2 linked regions of the Notamacropus eugenii genome follow. The protein of the gene in region 1 purifies or fractionates together with the protein of each later gene. This does not show direct contact. Links are inferred from orthologs where the notes say so. Each region holds a gene or a part of one and is shown in the gene's direction. Other genes may lie near its edges.

What was found. Proteins that work in one complex are often made in the same cells at the same time.
Region 2: the proteins of SLC39A4 (region 1) and LEMD2 purify together in Homo sapiens (affinity purification with mass spectrometry; 3 studies listed by BioGRID and IntAct, counting the BioPlex papers as one, with this or other methods). This does not show direct contact. The link is inferred for Notamacropus eugenii from reciprocal best matches to the Homo sapiens genes SLC39A4 and LEMD2.

What each region holds. Positions count from the first base shown.
Region 1 is NC_092875.1:86,830,527-86,840,125, reverse strand, and holds the start of SLC39A4 (zinc transporter ZIP4), read left to right. Parts: upstream 1-4,863; 5' UTR 4,864-4,998; coding exon 4,999-5,184; intron 5,185-7,342; coding exon 7,343-7,603; intron 7,604-8,363; coding exon 8,364-8,565; intron 8,566-9,019; coding exon 9,020-9,198; intron 9,199-9,301; coding exon 9,302-9,470; intron 9,471-9,599. UniProt on the Homo sapiens protein: Selective transporter that mediates the uptake of Zn(2+). Plays an essential role for dietary zinc uptake from small intestine. The Zn(2+) uniporter activity is regulated by zinc availability.
Region 2 is NC_092873.1:89,850,545-89,861,099, reverse strand, and holds the start of LEMD2 (LEM domain-containing protein 2), read left to right. Parts: upstream 1-6,250; 5' UTR 6,251-6,300; coding exon 6,301-6,907; intron 6,908-10,109; coding exon 10,110-10,150; intron 10,151-10,555. UniProt on the Homo sapiens protein: Nuclear lamina-associated inner nuclear membrane protein that is involved in nuclear structure organization, maintenance of nuclear envelope (NE) integrity and NE reformation after mitosis.

The sequences.
Region 1 (9,599 bases):
ACGGTTGTCTTTAATAGGGAATTGATCAATTAATTAATTAAATCATAAAATGTATGCATTTAGCCTGTTGCCTTTTCTTTAACCAAGTTTTCAGGTCAACAGGAATAATGTTAGGTGATAGGTTCAATGTATAGGCTTAGGAATGTTCACATAATTAAGACTATATATGCATGTGAGCTAGCTGGAATAAACAGAGTTCTCACCACCTTGTCTCATACCTCATTTCATTACTCACCAAATCAAGGCCTTTTGCTGGACATGAGCCTTGGGTCGTGGTTTAGGGATTCCCGTAATGGTCTAGGGGACCCCAACACCCATAGACTTCCAGAGACTGGCAGAACAAATGGGAAGATTAGATCTGAGTAAAAAAGGCCAGATTAAGTGGGAAGATTCCAGGAGGCTCCCAGATTCCAAACCCCATCATTTCCACATTAATCATGTTGTGAAAGAAGAATCAGAACAAAAGGGAAAAACCAAGAGAAAAAAATTTTTTTTAAAAAGAGATAATAGCGTTGAGGTTCAGGGTGGTGGGGACCCCGAAATACTGACATGCCAGTTCCTGCTCGAATGAATTTGATGCAAACCTTCTTAAAGCCAAAGAAAAACAAAGTTTATTAAAGATTTGCCCTATTGGGTTGACTTTTAAGGAGTCTAAGCATTTGTAACGCAAGTAGGCCAGATAGAATCTCAGAGAGAGTCTGAGCTGGATTGAATTCAAGTGCTTTCATGAAGGCGAGATGGAACTTGAATACAGAAAAGGACTGTAGGAGGGATCTGGGGGTGGTCTGGTAGGCTAGGGTGATGGGAGGAGGAATTTAGGGAGGGTTTTGAGAAGTCCTAGGAGGAGGTCAATGGGAGTGGGGTGACTGGTCAAGGGTTAGAAACAGCTGGAGGCAAACAAGAGATATGGAACAATGGAGGGCTTGGGTGGGACGCAGGTGGGGCAATCCAGAGGTAACAGACAATGGAAGGCCAGGCTAGGCCAAGCGCCACAGATTTGAGTATGAAAGGCCACATTAAGTGGGAAGATTTCAGGGAAGTTCGAGGAGGTTCCCAGAGTCTGAACCCCATCAATAGTAGGTTTCGATCCTCATGCAGACTCCATAGTTCTTTCTCTGAATGTGGATAGCATTTTCCATCATGAGTCTTTTGGAATTGTCTTAAATCATAGTATTGCAGAGAAGAGCTAAGTCTATCGAAGCTGATTATCATACAGTCTTACAGTTACTGTGCACGATGTTCTGGTTCTGCTCACTTCTCTCAGCATCAGCTCATGGAAGTCTTTCCAGGTTTTTCTGAAATCTGCCAGCTCATCATTTCTTATAGAACAATAGTATTTCATAGGATTCCTACACCACAACTTGTTCTGTCATCCCCCAATTGATGGTCATCCCCTCAATTTCTAATTCTTTGCCACCACAAAAAGAACTACTATAAATATTTTTGTTCAAGTGGGCCCTTTTCCCTTTTTTTATGATCTCTTTGGGATCTAGACCTAGCAGTAGCATTGCTAGATCAAAGGGTCTTCATTTTGTTTACCTGTCTTGCGCAGGTAAGGTTAGGTTAAAGTTGCCTTGGTTTGCATTTCTCTGTTATTGCTCTCATAGATATGTTTCCAAATAGACGTTAAGCTTTTGAATGCACTATTGGCAGTTTTTTCCAGCAATTTTCTGTATCTTTAGGCATCAAAGGAAGATGAAAAAGGCTCAGGATTACCATAAAGGGCAGTTGCCAGTGAGTTACTTCTAACACTTTCTAGCACCCTTGGGCTTCTTTGGACATTTGCTCTTAATGACTGGAACTTTGGGAACTAAAACTGAAGTGTTGAATGGCTAGGAGTCAAATGGCCTTTCTAGAATTAATGTTCACCCAGCTGTGGACCAGAAAGATATGATATGTCCTCTCCCACACAAGATGGGGGAAGCTGAAGTATGATGAAAGTGCTTCTCTTTCCCCTGAGACTTTGATTATCACGGGGATGCTTCTCTCTAAAGGTCTTGGGGTATATGCAAGTCACTCTACCTGTTCCCTACGAGAATAGTGAGGCATCATGCCAAATAGTGTGGGGAAGCTTGCCTAGGTTTATCCTGTTGCCCAGATGTAATGGCTGTAGACACCAATAGTCTTAGTTCTTATGCAAACTAAGAGCCTTAGACTGGATTTGTTTCTGCAGTATCATTCATTGCTAAATAAATCATCTGCCCGTAACTCCTCAGTATCATTATTCCACCTTAACACCATAACAGTACCTAGAAGCAGCTTCTGGTAGGCTATTCTACTTGACTTAGAACAAGACAGTATCCCAGGACTTCCTCAGGGTGTATTTGGAGAGGGAATGGGGGTAAAAAAGTGGCTGATAAATGTGGACTACACCATTCCAACAATGCCTGTCTCCACCTGGAAGTATAGGGTGTCTAGTTGACTGGCTTATCTGAATTCTTGGAGCCAGAAACTGCTAAACAATGACTGACCCCACCTGATGACTTACCCCTTCTTCTGGCTGCTCTGGGGCCCAGACCTGCTGAGTTGGCTAAATAGCGTCTGATAAAATCTGGTGGGCAAAGGCCAGGGAGAGGCTGATAAGATGAGAGGGCTTGGCCAGAAGTATGCCAACTTTGACCCTTACCTTTCCAGCCCAACCTCCCCCTCCTTTGGACATAGTTTCCTTGAACCTTTGTCCTCTGTGAGCCTAGCTTCAAGCAACCACAGAGAAGTCTTAGACACTCTAGGGAAGGCACTGTCATTACTCTGGTAAAATAAAGGCTGTTTTCTGTTCCCTCCTCCCTGAGATCTACCACCATGCTCAATGTCCATGTATGTTAGAATTGGAAGGCACTCCCCCTCCCCCCGCAGGACACCTTATCCCTCATATCCTTTATTTCTCAATCTTCCCACATGCATGCCCATAAAAAGTATGGCTGTACTGGGACCTTATCTGTGGGACACAGGCTCCCAGTCAGGAAACTGGAGCAGGTGGACAGTAACTAACCATCAGCAATGAGCTTCTTGTCTTCCCTAGTCATGCCCCAGATCTCTGGCTCTGGCTCTGAGAAGCAGCACCAGCAGCAGTTTCTACCTTCCCTGGGTGACAGCAATACACTTGGAACCCCAGAACCTGTAATCAGCATCCCTGAACTCCCCCACTGATTGGCTCAGGTTCCTTGACCAGGCTTTGTGGAGTCTACCAAATCTCTCAGGACGCTGGCGATCTCTCCCTAACTGACCAGTCTAGGGCCCTGACTCAAAACTTCTACCCCATCCCTAGCCAGGGACCCCAGGAGCCCCTTTACTATTAACCTGCCCAAGAGTCCTAGCTTATCTCCTCTCCTCAAGTATACTGGAGAAGTACAAATGTGATAGGACAGGATGCATATCTGGGAAAGACTGGGAAAGATAACCCCTGAGGACAAAACCAGCACAATGGGTGGGAGCGGTAAAGCAGTAAAAATGGGGCTAAATAGCGGAATAAACTTCCAAATAAGGAGAGCTATCTAAATTTGGAAAGGACAAAATGGGTTTTCTCCTAGCAGGCGGTCTTCAAAAGAAAATTGAATGGCCACTTAGGTGTGTCATAAAGCGAATTCTTTTCAGATATTACAAGGTCTCGGAGGTCCCCTAGTAACAGTTCCTAACAACAAGTTCACCGACCTACCACACCCTACCCCCAAACTCTGGTATTTAGAATTGTGAAAGAGTGGAATGAAATGGCAAAATTCAGGAATTCTAGTTGCCACTCCCATACTGCTTCTACTCAGCCGAGAAAGAGTTTGGAGAAGGGGAAAGTGAGGGGAGGACAGGATGGAGGGGAAGTGTCTGCAGCTCCCTGCCCAGTGCTGGGAAACCCCCACGAATTGTGTGCTTTGGCTCCATGACAGCAAAAACCTTCTCTCCTCTAGTCACTCTCCTAGCCCAACCCTTTTCTCTTTCTATTTCCTCACCCAAACGTAGATCTGCTGCCAAGAGAATTTCTCAGATGTGACTCTGGAAGAAGGGAAGGGTAAAGGAGAATTCCAATTTTCCCCTGCCTTCCCCAAAGCATATGGCCCAGAGGACAGGAGGAAATTCAGGAAAGTTTGTTGCTCTCTCACCCTGTCTGGGCCAAGCCTGACTGGTCTAAGGAACCAAACTTTTAAAAACAAGACTATTTCTGTTTCTCTTTGTATTTTGTGTAAATCTGAGTTTGCCTATCCATATGTTTATGTAAATTTGTGTGTATCTTTGTATAATGTCTGCCTACCTGCATCAGTATCATGGTCTGATCAGAGTTGGATGAGCTCCTGGGTAGTCCAGGAAGGAGACCTTGAACCGTCCCCAGGCTTTCATGGCTTTCTGTAGATACAGGTGAGAGGAACAGATCTCACAGGACAAAGGGCTGCATAACAAGATATGGATCCAGAGGGGAAGGAAGGAAAGAAGAAAGGAAAAGGAGGAAGGGAGGGAGAAAGGAAAGAAAAGGAGAGGGGGGAGAGAGATATTGCATAGGGTCTTGGGCCTGGGAAATAATGCTGTAGGTCCATGAAACATAGTGGAAAGGGTAGGGACAAAAAGACTTAAAAGTTTAGGCCCCCTCAAAAAAGTGAAGCTGAGTTTTGGGAGAGGGAATGAGGCCATGGTGACTGGATAGTTCCGACTGTTCTATCTAGGGAGGATCAACTACTGGAATGGTTAACCTGGGGCCATCTGGGTGGCAGCCAATCACAGTGCCTGGCAGGAAATACCTACTTGGGAGATTCCCCAAGAATCCTACAGCTCAGCCCTGCCCTAGCCCAGGACTTCTTGTGGCTAGTTGCAGTACAGTCCTCTTATTTCTCCTCTTCCTGAGACCAAGATCTGCACGAGGGGGTCCCCACTCACCCGTTCAGCCAGGCCCGCAGAGATCCATAGCCCAGCCCTCCAAATCCCCACCTCTGCCTCCACCTCCAGGAAATCCTTTAGCACCATCCACCCCTCCCCAAACCTAACCTGACCCTTGTCAAGAATCTTCTGGAAACCTGAGCTATGCGGAGTGTGGTCTGTCTCTGGCTGGGGGTATGGCTGGGGATAGCCCTGGGGACTACCCCAAGACCTGCCAGTCTACTAAACGTGCTCACCTCCAACCAAAGTTCTTTGGACCAGGCTGCCCTGGGCTCCCTGTTAAATACACTGGCGGCCCGTGTGCAATGCCTAGATGAGCCGTGTGGAAAGGTAAGAGACAGCAAATAGCTTTAACCTCCCTCTGCTTACCCCACCCCTAACTAGTGCGGGGAGCAAAGGGGACAAATTCCAAGAGGGAGGGAGGGGAGAAGATAGGAGATGACAAGACTTAGGTGTCTTGGCAGGCAAGGGACAGCCAAGGAAGAAAAGGGGCCCTAGAGGGTCCACCTCAACCTATCACTTTTTACCAGTGCTCCAGGAGAGAGGAGGACCCAGGGACTGAGAGGGGGCTTAGCCTGGGATGGGAAGCTGAAATGGGGGACAGGGCAGAAAGGAGCCAGGCTTTTGCCATCCAATGCTACCTTAGGAAACGGGGGTGGGAAGAGCTGGTCATAGAGAGGGGTGGGCACACTTGGGCTGACCTTTATGGGAAAAGAGAGTAGCTTGTGCTCTACTAAGGCAGGAAAGTCTGGGGCCTGGGACACACTAGTGTCTCTTCTTTCCTTTCTTCCCCCTTTTTTCCTTCCCCCTCTTTTTCCTTTTTCCCTTGAGACTCCAGACTTCCCCCCAGGGCCCAATCCTCTCCCTAGGATTCTTAGCTGAGAGGCTTAAAGTCATCCTTCGGCCAGAAGTGGATGGTGCCTAGGGGCCAGTGACTGTTATGTTGTCCTCTCTCCCTCTCCTCTGAGTGAGAGGCTGCAATAAGTCTCCCATCTGTGTTCATGAGTAAATGGGAGAGCTGGCACTCGTGTGTGTGTGTGTGTGTGTGTGTGTGTGTGTGTGTGTGTGTGTGTGTGAAAGGGAGTGGGAGAGCACCCTTCCATCTTGTTCTGGAAGCTTCATGTGCGTTCATCCTTAATTGCCAAAGAAGACCATGGCTTCAGAGAAATGATGACATGACTTGCACATGACTTTGTTTTGAGTGAAGGAGGGTTGTGCAGTTCACCGGCCTCACTTCTCCTCCAGAGCCATCTGAATCCAGTGACCAGATATTCATCAGGATGACTGGAGATGACCCAGGATGAAGCAATTGGGGTTAAGTGACTTGCCCAAGGTCCCACAGCTAGTGAGTGTCAAGTGTCTGAGGTGAGATTTGAACTCAGGTCCTCCTGACTCCTGCCCTGGTGCTCTATCCACTGCTCCACCTAGCTGCCCCAACAGGAAGCTTCATATGTGTAAGAGGAAGACATGGCTCCTCTGTACAGGGGTGGTCAACAGAGCTCTGAGTACTTTGTGTGAGAGAGTACTTTATGTCTGTGGGACAGGGAAAGATAGAGGCAGAGGGAACAGCACTCCCGGAGTCTACAATGGGACTTCCCACCTGTAGGGCCAGGGGGCTTTCCTTCCTTTCTGTTGTTTTTTTAGTTTGTGAGCAGGGGTCACCTAGGTGGTGCAGTGGATAGAGCACCAGGGCAGGAGTCAGGAGGACCTGAGTTCAAATCTCACCTCAGACACTTGACACTCACTAGCTGTGGGACCTTGGGCAAATCACTTAACCCCAATTGCTTCATCCTGGGTCATCTCCAGTCATCCTGATGAATATCTGGTCACTGGATTCAGATGGCTCTGGAGGAGAAGTGAGGCTGGTGAACTGCACAGCCCTCCGTCGCTCAAAACCAAGTCAAGTGCAAGTCATGTCATCATTTCTCTGATGGCGTGGTCTTCTTTGGCAACAAAGGACGAACATACACTAGAGTTTGTGAGCACAGGGGCACACAATCTCACTTCCTGACTCAATGCCTGGAAGTGCATGTGTCCCATGCTGTGGCCTCATCCTGGAGGCCCTGGGGTTGGTGTTAAGGCTTGGAATAACTGGGTGTAGCTTAGAGCCACTGGAATGGTGGGGGCAGGATGTGGGGGATGGGTAAGACAAGGATTCCCAGGAAAGGAAAGGATAGGGCTAACCCAGGGGAGCACTGGAGATTTCTTCCTCTGAGGTGGGGCAGTGGACAGAGAGCTGGGCCTGGAGTCAGGAGTCCAAATACCACCTCAGATACTTGTTAACTGCCTGACCCTGGGTAGGCTACTCAATCTCTTTCTGTCTCAGTTTCCTCAACTGTATAATGGGGATAATAATAACACCTACCTTACAGGGTTGTTGTGAAGACCAACTGAGAAAGTATTTGTAAAAATGGCTATTGAAATGCTTATTTCCCAAACTCCCCTGATTACTCCCCTAACTTCTAGGACTGACTTTTTGTGCCTGCAGTGCATGACAGTGGAGAATGCCCTGGCCCTGGCTGGGCAGGGTGGGATTCTGAGTTCCCAGAATGTGACCCAGTTCTGTGCAGGAATCGCTCTCTACCTCCGGGATCCAGAGAGCACTTGTGCTGCTATCCAGGCTGGCAGCTGGGGCTCACAGGCAGAGAGCTTCCTGGCTTCCTTGGCCTCTGCTGGGGTCCATTACCCCAACATCCTGAACCAACTTCTTCAGCAGATCCAAAGGCACTACCAAGGAGAGCCAGGCCAGGTGAGGGCAGTGTTGTGACAGGGGGAAAGCACAAGGCATATGGAAGGGAAGAGCTCTGTGCTCTTGGGAATGTCTCTTTCCTTCTCTCTGGACCTCAATTCCATCATTTTTAAACTGGGTGGGTTGGGAAGGGAGGTTGGACTCTGAGCTCAGGGGCTTGGACTATCCTGTAGGCAGTGGGGAGCTGTTAAAGGTTTTAAAGGAGGGACAAGATGATCTGAAAGGTGCTAGCAGCTCTAAATCCTGATGCTGTGTGCAGTGGGAAGAGTGGTCTTCAAGTTCTGCAAAGGTGGATTTGGAGAGGGAAGGGCCTGGAGGCTGGTTGGAAGTCTAGGCCCAAGGTCTAAGGCTTGAACTAAGGAAGTAGCAGTGTGAATCAAGAGGATGGACTTGAGGACTGAATGCATATGGAAGCTCAGAGAGAAGGGGGTTGAGTTTAAACCCTGGGTGATTAGGTCCATGATGCCAGAGGAAGAGTTACAGGGGGAGAGGTAAGAAACAAGCTGAGTTAGGGATATGTATGTGAAGTTGGATATCTTGATGGAGATGATCTCTAGGCCACTGGAGGTGTGGGCCTGGAGCTCATGAGAGAAGTCAGGGCTGGAAATGTGTATGTGGGGGCCATCTGCCTTCCCTCATTCCCACCCTCAACCCCCCACATAAGTAATGGGGTGCCACCACCACCCCAGGAGGGTGGTGAGGAGAAGAGGTAAGTGAGCTGGGGTGAGGAGGGGCCTGAGTGTTGATCTCTGATTCTCAGAGTTGTGTGGACATACACCAGATTTTGGAGGAAGCAGCAGGAGCCCAGGGAACTGAGAGCCAAGGTCCAAGCCAGGCTCTGGCTGCCCTCCTGGACCATGCCATAGCTGGGTCCTGCTTCCATGTCCTGCCCAGTCCCCAGTACTTCATTGATTTCGTCTTCCGACTTCATAGCAATGAGTCACGGAACCTCACTCTCTCTGGTAAGGAGTAGGGGGTTGAGACTAGAGATGAAAGGGAAAGATGGATCTCAGAGTAGGGCAGTCTTCAGATGGGCTCCCTTTAGGGAAGGCTTCACTTGACCTCTGAGTAGAGAAGGGTTTGGACTCAGGAAAAGGGAAGACTCATGGGAGAAATGCCCTAAAGGGGAAAAAGTGGAATAACAGGTTTAGGAATAGATCCATGAAGGGCTAAAGAATCCAACATATCCCAGTCAATGTCCATTTCAGTTCCTGTTACACACGTATCTCTCCACCTTTCTCTCCCTCCCTCCCAATCCTTGGACATGACCACCATGTGACAAGAGCACTGTGCTCAGTCCAGATCCTCCTGGAGAAGTGGGCCAGTCCTGGAAGGCTTCCTAAAGGCAGAGGCTGTTGAGGTGGTGGTGGGGGGCAGAGAAGAAGTTAACAGCAGCACCCTGCTTTCCCTACCCAGAGTTGCAGGCTCTGATGAGCCAGCTGCAAGTGGGGACAGAGGCTGAGGTCCATCCCCATGACAGTGATGAAGAACACCAGCACTATCACACACAGTACAGCCTGGAAGGGAGGGCAAGCCACCAGCTGAGGACTCCTCAACAGGCCCAAGTGGAGGACTCTGACAGCGTATGGGACACAGTAAGTCAGGAGGAAGGGGAGAGGGAGAAGAGAGGAAAACAGTGGAGGAAGTTAACCTACTTTCCCCCCTGCTGCCTAATTCCATTCCCCTCTCTGCTCCTAGGTATGCCTGAGTGCCTCTGATGTCCTGGAGGTGTATGGGCTGTCAGAAGAGGAAGGGGTATCCCCAGATGCCTGGGCCCAGCTCAGCCCAGCCCTACTCCAGCAGCAGCTCAGTGGGGCCTGTGTGTCTGTCCATTCCATCACCCACGGGGACCTCACTGTCACTGAAAGTGAGTGTCACCCACTAGAGGTTGGCCTCTAGTGCTGAGGCCACAGAAACTCCATCCCACTCAGCCTACATTCATCCACTTGGCCTTTGGGGCCACTTCTTTCGTTTTTTTTAATGCTTAGTCCTTCTC
Region 2 (10,555 bases), on another chromosome or scaffold:
ACATTCCATCAAACTAGTCCACTCTCTAATCCTTTTAAAACTGGGCTTATGTTCTCCCATGCCTTTGTTCATATTATCCCCATACCTAAAATGCCCTTCCTCCTCTTCTTTACTTATTGAATTCCTAGCCATCCTTTAAAGCTCATCTCAAATGCTACTTCCTCTTCAAAGCTTCCCTGATTCCCCCAGTTATTCACATGTGCCCTTACATAACATTTTGTTTTGTACAATTTATTAGGAAAGAATTTTCATGGATTCTTGTATATATGTACATGGGCAGCTAGGGGGTGCAATGAATAAAGAAGTGGACCTGGTTTCAGAAATCAAATCCAGCCTCAAATACTGTCTGTGTGACTCCGTACAAGTCACTTAACCTGTCTACCTCAGTTTTCTTATCTGTAACATAGGGATAATAATAGCACCTACCTCCCAGGGTTGTGGAGAGGCTAAAGAGCTTTGTAAACCTTAAAGCAGCATATAAAAGCAAGCTATCATCATATGTAATAATTGCATACTTTAGTCAAGAGAAACAACTAAAAAGTGCTCATCGTATATTACAGTTACTTGCCTCGTGTCTTATGCCCCAACTAAACCAAAAGTTCCAAAAGGAAAGAAAGCCCCTCTTATCTAAATTTTTATGACCCCCTAGAACCTGAATAGGACCTGAATGCATGCTTGTTGAATGAATGAGTAAATGAACGAATGGAAATTTAACACAGAGTTAAAGTGAGGGCTAAGGTAATAAACCTCCCAGGTCCTCATTATAAATCAAAAGCTGTCAAATGAAAAGATTTTCATTGCTTCCTCCAACTTCAAAATCACATTGTTTCCTCATGGTACAACACACATAAAGCCCCACAAATAAAGACTAGGGAATTTTACAGAGGTCATCAGATCACAGATCAAGAGCTGAAAGGGACCTCAAAAGTCATCTATTTCAATCCTCTCATTTTAAAGGTGAAGTCACTGCAGCCCAGAGAGGTTAAAGGTCTTGTCCAAGATCACACAAGTATAAAAATGATGGAGCTGCAGCTAAATTTAGCCCCTCACACTCCAAATCCCATGTTCACCCAGACTCAGTCTTGTTCCCCAGAAAGGACACTCAGCACTCTTACATTCCTGAGTCTCCAGCAACAACTTCCCTACAGCTACTCAAGATACATTTTAGTACAGAACAGAAAGATAGAGGAAAGAAGGAAAAAGGCATTTATTAAATACTCGCTGTGTACCAGGCACTGGGCTAAGCACTGGGAATTCAAATACAAGCAAAAAGAAAGCCAGTCCTGGCCTCAAGGAGCTCACAATCTAAAGTGGGAAGACAACACACAAAAAGGGAGCTGAGAAGGGAGAAGGGGAGGGAGGGAGATGGAGTTACCTGGTATGGGGCATGGTTTTGAAAACCAGTCAGGAACATGGCCAGAAGAATGAAGGATGGTTTGGGGCCCCTCAACAAAATGTTAGAAAGAGGAGAAACTTATCAATGGGAGAAGAGGGCAGAGGGTATGTTCCAGGTTGAGAAGGCCAAAGGAATGGTTAGATATTCCAAGGAAAGGACTCCCTAGGCAATCATTGCACTTGAAATCTCTGTGGAACGGATGAATCTCTAAGTATTTTCAGAGGAAAAGAGGGAGAGTATAACTTGCTAAAAAATTGATGGGCAATATTATTATAAGGTTATGCTGTGCTGGATAGAGGTCAGCTTAAGAGAAGTTAGCATTGCATTCCTCAAGGATCACTGGAGTCTTCTTTAAGAAACCTTTCACCTCTGTTAAATGTGTGCATGTGGTTGCTAAGTAGATTAAGAAACTGAAGTTTGTTTTCCCATTTCTGCCTTTAATAAATCAGGAAGACCTGCCCTGGCCTGAGTGGTTCACCTGAAAAACATAGACACACACACACACACACACACACACACACACACACTAAAGTGAATGAAAAAGGAGGGCAGAGAGGATGATAACTTGTGACTTTGCAAGAGCTTCATTTGTCTTAAAATATGCATTAACATCAAAGATAGGCCCATGCACTAAACTAATATTGCAGACATCAGAAACCAGGTTCCAAGAACCCCTGAAAATCCTTGTACTGCTTCTGACAATGGGCTATGGCAAGAAAGACCATACTGAGGGGAAACGTTGATACTTTCAGAATTACCAAGCACACTGGAAGCCAGAGTTCAGTTCCTCCAGCAAAACAGGTGTAATGAGACTTGGAAAGATGTGAATGAAGTGTTCTGATGGTTAGATCAAGGAAAGCAGCATGAAACACATTGATTGACTTAGTAAAATGGCTAAAGGGAGCCTTGGGGACATGCCAATGTTATTTAGGACTGGGGAGGTATTTCCAAGTCAGAGAATGTACAAGGTCAGAGCACAAGTTCATGAGAAAAATGTTAAGTATAGGGGCAGGGCAGAAGTAGGGTAAAACATTGACTTTTGATCTTCCTTTTTGAAGAAAGGAGGGATTAAACAAAAAAAGTAGTAAACCTAAAATAACCACCTTCTTTAAGGGAACTGTGAAGAAGAAAAGACTAGGTCAGGCGGCAGGATGATAACTAATATAGGTTAAGAAGCACTTTCTTTGTCTCTGTTAGTTCCCCAGAGGGATCATTACCCCTCCCCAATTTCTCTCTCTCTTGTACTTATGCAATACTCCTCCGTCTCTCTCACATCATATACTTGAACATTATCAAGGCCTTTTCATTCTACTTCTGCATTCTCCTATCTCAGTCCCTCCTTCCCACTCTCATTGCCACCATCTTCGTTCATTCCCTGAGAACCTCCAAATTGGTTGAGCCTCCAACTTGGTCTCCTGGACTCAACTTTTACCTCTTCAATTTCATGTAGTTGTCCAGGCAAATTTCTTAATGTGTGACTCTTCTATGGAAAAACCTTCAGTAAACTCACCACTACCTACTGAATAAATATAAAATCCTGGTCCTTGAATCTAGCTCCAACCTATTTTTATTTCCTACTAGCTCCCTTTTATGTACTTTGGGAGGCAGTGTGGAAAAGAGTACTGGCTCTGAATTCAGAGGATCTGGGTTGAAATTCTACCTCTGATGCTTACTACCTGTGCAACTTCATGCAAGCCATTTAACTTCCCTGGGCCTCAGTTTCCTCATTTGTAAAATGTGGGGGTTGAATTACAATGGCTTCTGAGATCCCTTCTAGTTCTAAATTTACAATCTGACTCTCCAGTCTTCTACTGTCCCATCCCAACCTCCCCCCTACTCAAGTAATGCACTTCCACACACCTACATTTCTATCTACTGAAGTCCCTCGATTCAAGGTTCAACTTAGTTACCACCTCCTTCAAGAAGCTTTCTCTGATATCCTCAGGTGAAGGTGATAGCTCAAATTGCCTCAAATTTATTATAGAATTTTGATAGGACTAGTCCTTTGTATTTGTCTCACCAGATCATAAAAAGTGCATTGGTTTTGGAATCAAAGGTTCTGATTCATATTCTGCCACATTTAGCTCGGACATTAGAAAAGTCATTAAATCTCACTGGATCTGAGTTTACACATGGGGGAAGGAGGGGAGAGGATGCCCACCTGATCTAACTCTAAATCTATGACCCTATGATCCCACTATCATAGTTATTTGGGTATATACCTTCCCCTGCCCTCCAGCAGAATGTAAGCTCCTTAAATGAAATTCCCAATATATCTATTTATGTATTCCCAGCTTTAACACAGTGCTTTGCACATGTGTTTAATAAATTGTTTTAGCTTGAATTGAGCCATATGATAAAATAAAATCTGAAACAACGTGGCAGGGCTATGAGCACCTGGGTCAGGGCTGCATTGATCTGGAGAGAAAAGTAACAAAGCCACATATGGTGAAGAGGGAGTTCAAAAAGTTCTCAGGTTCACCTGTAGTAACTGCAGGGCTCTTGTCAGTGAGGGAATCTTTATAGTCAGTCCAGAAAGGTCTTCGGATCATGTGTCTCTTGGGTTGCTTGTACAAGTCAGCATCCTCAAATGCAAGAAAGCAACACTGTATGCCCTGGGGGAGTGGCTCAGGCACAGCATCTGTTTATTTATTTATTTACTTAGGCATACTGAAAGCTTCTCTGAAGACAGATGCCATCATTCTGCCAACTGCTGTTTGTTAACTTTGCTTAAGCCATCAGTCTCATGCCCTTACAATACACAGGGCTAGTATGATACCCCAAAAGCTCATTCTTTATACACTGAACTGCACAGCTTCAAGGAATTGCATAAATGTTACCAACTCATTTGTCATGCAAACAGTGCTTTGGAAAGAAATAGAATACTATTATGTGGTATATGTGTTAGGCAATCACTATATCAAATTCATGGCATTCCATACAAACACAGGCGGAGAAAAGGAAAACAACACTTGGTGAGAGAAATCACACCACATGGGAGCGGCTAAGTCAGGAGAGATTTGGAAGCTAACAACAGAAGCCTGACCAGCCTAAGACTGTAATTTTCTCTGCAGTTGTGACCAGTGTTGGAGTGCCCCTGTGGTACTCAAAGTAGCACGAATATAAAGCATCTACTCCAGGTTCCCTGCCCATGGTGCTGAATGATAGGATAAGGAGGGGGGAAGGAGAGAATATAATGGGATTGAAGGGGAAGGGGGTGGGGGTGGGGAACAGAAGGAGATGAGTGGAATGAAAAGGGTGATGAGGAAAATGGAAGGAGAGCTGGAGAACAGGATTTTGATCCCAAAGGGGTCTTAAAAAGTCACCTAATCCTCACCCCTCATTTTACAGAGAAAGGTCATAGATCACTGATTCAGAGCTGGAAGAGAATGCAGAGGTAATAAAGTTCAACCTTCTAATTTTATCAATGAGAAAAAAAAAGCCCAGAAAGGTTAAATACTTTGCCTGAGGGAGTCATACAGCTAGGTCTGAGCCAGGATTCAAACCCAGAAAACTCAAGGAAAGTGTATTACTCCAAATGCCTTTTTAGTAGATAGTCCTTATGCAGCATGGTATAATGGGCAAGTCTTTGATTTAGAATTAGGAAACTTTAGTTTAAATCTTTGTTCTGCTACTTACTGATTGACCTTGGAGAAGTCACTTAACAGAATCAGAGGATCCTCTCAGTTTTTTTTTCTTTTGTTTTTGTTTTATTGGTGAAATGAAACATTAGTAGATGCTCTAAGTCTTTGGTTCCAAGAGTCGCAGGAGACAGCCCTGCCTCTGGCAGTGATGAATACCTCCAAAGCTAGTGAGTGCAGGATGCCCCCTGATGTCCCTTTGATGGGGCACTAATGATATCCCCTTAAAAACCCCAGGATTTTCCCACACAGCCCAGTCCCCCAGCCCATAGTCCTTTCAAAACCTCCATTAAACTGTGCAAATTCTAAGAATCTTGGTACTTTTATACAGAAAGACTGTGAGAAAATCTGCATGGGATGAAGGAGGGGCAAGTAGCCTCCTACCAGGGGCAGACAGTGGAAGGCTGGGCTGGGCGGGAGGGCCACAGTGAAAGGACAGTGGAAAGGGTTACACTTGAGTGGGCTGGACCACTCAGGCAAATGCCAGGGCCTGGGCCCCCGGGGAAGTCCATCGCTGGCCTCCATCACCTCCAAGGCCAAGTGGGACAAGACCTGCCTTACCGCATGCCCTGCTGGCACAGCCTGCTCCCAAGGTCACCTCCATGCCACAGCAGGGCTTCAGTGGCAGATTCATCTTTGTGTTCATACATATATTTCTCATATGATCGCTGACTGGATGGTTGGTGGGATGGATGACGGTCCCCCAAAGGGAAGAGAAGGAGGGGGTGCAACTTGTCCCCCACCTCCCCAAGGACACAATTCTGAACAGATCTGGCTGCTAAGACAGACAGTCCTGGACCTGACTCAAGCTCTGCCACTTGTTGGCTGTGTGGCCTTGGACGCATCACCTAACCTCCCTAAGCCTAATTCCCTCAAGCGTACAAAGAACTGGTTGGTTCCGCCCACTGTGCGGTAGGGACCCGTCAAATCGAAATCCAGGCCAGGGAAACGTCAGTGACCTCCCCAACATGGCAGTTCCACCTTGTACAGGGAAGCGGACCTCCACAACATGGCGTCCGCGTGCACCGAGGGGATTAAACATACTCCTCGAACGTCCAATCAGACTCGACTAGACCTTCTCAACATGGCGGTCCCTTCCCCAGCCTTGTCCGGACCGCCCCAAGATGGCGGCTGACCTCCCCAGCATGGCTGCCGCCGCGGGCCGCCCCGCCCCTCCCCGCCCGGGCCCGGCTCGGGCTCCGGCAGCGGCGGGAGCAGTTCCGGGGGTGGGCGCGCGGGTGCGGCGGCAGCGGCTGCGCGGCTATGGCCGGGCGGTCGGACCTCGAGCTGCGGCGGGAGCTGCAGGCCCTGGGCTTCGAGCCCGGGCCTATCACCGACACCACCCGGGACGTCTACCTCAACAAGCTTCAGCGGCTGCGAGGCGAGGCCCGGCTGCGCGCGAGGCCCGGCGCCGGGCTGCTGCGGCCTGAGGCGGCCCGCCCGGGCCTGGGCTTGGGGCCGGGCGCTCGCCCGGGGCTCGGGGCCACCTCCGCCCCCTCCTCCTCCGCATCCTGGGCCGGGAGCCGTCCGAGCATCCACCACGCAGCCTCGGGGGCCCGCAACACTTTCTCCTGGCGCCCCGGCCGAGAGCGGGAGCGGGAGCGGGACAGCTCCGAGGAGGACGAGCGGCCCGCCCCGAGCGCCGGCTCCCGCCGCTGGTGGGCCCCGGCTTCGGCCCCGGCCCGCAGCCCGGCTGCGTACGGGGGCCTCCGGCCCCGGCCCCGGCCCAGGCCGGAGGTGGGGCGGCGGCTGGAGCGCTGGCTGTCGCGCCTCCTGTGCTGGGCCAGCCTGGCGCTTCTGCTCGTCTTCCTGGGCATCCTGTGGGTGAAGATGGGGGGGCCCTCCCGGCCACAGGAGGCGGAGGAGAACAGTACGTGGCCGCCCCGTCCTGCCCCCTCCCTCCTTCACCTGCCGCCCTCCTCCCCTCCCCCAGCCGCTGGGGCCGGAGCCCCCTATCCAACCTCCCCTTCCCCTCTCTTTCCCACGATTTCGCGCCGGACGGACCGTAGACTGCCACCTGGCAGCCCCCTCCTTTGACAGATGAAGAAAACTGAAGCCCAGAGAGGGCACCTTGGTGCGGTGGGGAGTGCAGGATTTGGGGTCAGAGACCCCCCCTGGGGCCGCCTTGGCCACTTGCTACATCTGTGACTTTGGGACAGTCACAGCTCTGCTGAGTCTCCCTTTCCTAACTGTCAAATGAGGGGGATGGGCTAGGTGACCTTCTAAGGTCGGTCCCTTCCTGCCCTAAATCTATAAACCTAAGAGGTAAGTGACTTAAAGTCACAGAGTTAATAAGTGACCGAGCTGGCATATGAACCCCAGGTCATCGGACTCCAAATCCAGCAGTTTCCCATTACAGGCTGTTCTTAGAGTCTTAGAACTGGAAGGGACCTTTGAAGTCTTCTTGTTCAGCTCTCTCATTTTACATATTAGGAACCTGAGCCAGGGTTTCTCATCTCTCCTAAATCTATCTGTCCCAGCTCCCTGCCTACCATCCTCTCCTATACCCACTACCAGAGAGGCCAGGGGAAATGTGTTCCTTTTGATCTCCAGCCCAGTAACTCCACACTCCCACTAATTCTCTTCCACAACCTGTTAGGAGAAAGAAGACAGCTTTTCTCATTTTCATTCATTTAAATTCTCAACCTTCCTCCCACCCCCATGCTTGTAACCAGGGCTCCAGTCACCAAAGGTCCAGAGAGGGTACAAGAGGAATTGTAGTTCTTGGAAATTCTTAACTCTAGGCCCATAAAACTTTCATAACCATCCTACTCTCCCTACTAGCTGCTGTGGAGGAGGAGAGAGAAAAAAACAAATCTTTTCTCACTGGCCCAAATTCTCCCTGTCACCAGCTACTGTGGAAAAGGATTCATAATTTATCCTCTTTCCTTATCTATGGGGCTCTCAACTTTTCAGTTTGGTTGGTTTTTTTTTTTTTGGCTGCTGTCTTTCCAGCTCTTGAGATGGGGAAGTCTTCATTAGTCATTTCTACCCCTAATTCCTGCTTCTACCACATGCTGGGCCAGAGTTAGGGGCCTGTGTTCCTTTGTTATGGTCCTCAGTTCTCTACTGTCTGGGCTCCTGGAGTAGGGGATTAAGGAAGCTAGTCCTGCTAATAGGATGCTAAATAGAATAGTGGTAGGTTCTTTCCCCTAGTAACACACTTCATTATCCTCAATCTCTTAACCCTCAATCTCTCCCTTTCCTGGATTCTCACTCCCTGTCTAGTGGAGAGCCCTCCCTAGAGAACAAGCTTGCCCAGTCTTTAACCTGTTTTCCCCCTGGTAATCATAAACACAGTGTTGCTCATAGTGGTAGCCTTGGGCTACTGTGTCCTTCCCTTACCACTTCTCCCAAGTGAGGTGATCTGCGTCTAATGCTCAGGGCAATACCACTAACTCAGCTCTGTGACTTCCATTTTCTTACTGTCCAGTGGAGATGTTAATACATGCCTCAAATCACTAAGAGGGCATTAGAATCATCAGATGTGAGAGCTGGAGGGGGCCACAGAGGTCATCTACTCCTACTTTCTAGATTTACAGAGGAGAAATCAGACCCCAATATGGGGAGTGATTTTCCAAGGTCACACAGCTAGCCTATGGCAAATGTGAAGGTACTTTGTAAAGTTACAAGTGTAAAGGAATGCATATGGTATCATAGAAAGAGCATCTGGATTTGTGTTCTGGCTTCTACATTTAACTAGCCATGTGACTGTGGGCGAGTCACCTGCCTTATCTGGAAAATGGAGATAAATATACTATCTCAGAGTTTTTGTGAGGAATTCACTTTTTAAATTAAATGGCATATGACAATGTTAGTTAATAGTTAAGATTACAGTAAATGATTATTGTTATTCCTCATCCTCCTTTTCCTCACCCACTCCTGTTTTAATATCCTAATTCTATGACTTAGAAAAAATTCCCAATTATGCTTGTCTCATGCCTGTATGTAATTCTATATACACAAAAGCAATTTATTTTTCCTCTATTGAGCTGTTACTGATTGTCAAGAAAATTCTGGCCTTTATCATCTGTAATGCCCTGTTCTAGTATTTTCACTCAGACTCAAACTGGGGAGGTCATGTAGATTTCAATATTTCCTCCACAAGATGAATGGAGCATTTGCATGTGTTTTCCTAGAGAAATTTGCCATATTTTTCTCTAGGTCTTAGTCTTAAAAGGAAATGAGATATTATGCACATATGTACATATTATTTCCTTATAAGTGTAAGTGTGAAGTGACACATCAAATAATTTATCAACTTTCAATATTTTCTGCAGAACATGATAACTAATTCTGCCTGATTAATATTGACTGTATCCAAGAACAAGCTTAGGCTGTCTTTACCATTTTATGAGAAGCTCAAGAAGTTCCTCAAATAAACTTTAAAAAATCAAATTGCCCCTTAACTGGTGCCATAAATTTGCCTGGGTGTATCCATGCAAATTGATTTAGAATATAAGATAAAAGAATGAGTTGAAAAAGTGTTTGGTCTAAAAGCAGACCAAGAAATACACATGTGTAGACTGGGATATGCCCGTTGGGTAGGATTAGCAGTGGAATGACCTGTCAGGAGAACTGAAGCTGACCCAAATTCAACTGATTCTTTGTAACTTTGGTTCCCCTGTACTCTGTCAAGCTGGTGGTATGAAGCCTGATATCTCTAAGGCTCAGTTTCCCCACCTGTATAATGAGGGAGTTGGAATCAAATGGTCCCTTCTAGCTCTGAGAGGCTTGTGTTGTAGGCAGCTGTGCATCATTGCCAAGAAACACTAAGGCCTTTTGAGCATGAGGAAGATTTCAGACCCAAAGTCCTATTAACTTTGATACAGAAACATTTGTAAATAAAGGATACAAAGTAGCCAGCCTTACAAATGAAGCAATGGGTTTTCCCTACTAGCAAATATGTAAGGATATATTTGACTGGGCATTTAAAACCACATCTGACCTAGGAAGCATGTTTGTATCTCCTAGTGCCAATCAGATTCTGCTCACCATGAGTCTCAGGGCTTAAATTCTTTTCCCAACTGGCCACCCTTTTAACTTCTTGTCTGTTTCCTTTTTGATCTTAGTGAAATTGTTGCCGGTGGACTGTGAGAGGAAAACAGATGCGGTGAGTTTGTTTCCTAGCTCTTTATTATTTCTCCTGAGGATGCAGCCCTCTCTAGAGAGGTAAACTTCCCCAGAAAAAGCTCATAATAGGATCATTTTCAGGGAGTATTTTCAGTAATGTACCAAAATCAAATAGTAGTCTGTGATGTTCATGTCAGACTCAATTGTAGCCATGTAGGAGAATCTGAAATGCACAGAATTGAGCCCCTAAAGATCCAGCACCTGTCCTGTTAGAAAAGCTCTTCCATCAGTTGCAACATCAGTAACTTTGATCTGTCTACTCCTAAGATGATTCCTGGGAAATATGGTGGGTTGTTTGCAAAGGACCTGTAGAGACACCTTCCTGACTGAGGGGAAAGGATGGCTGATTTTAATCTTCAGGAAGCCTGCTTTCCAATTCATTATC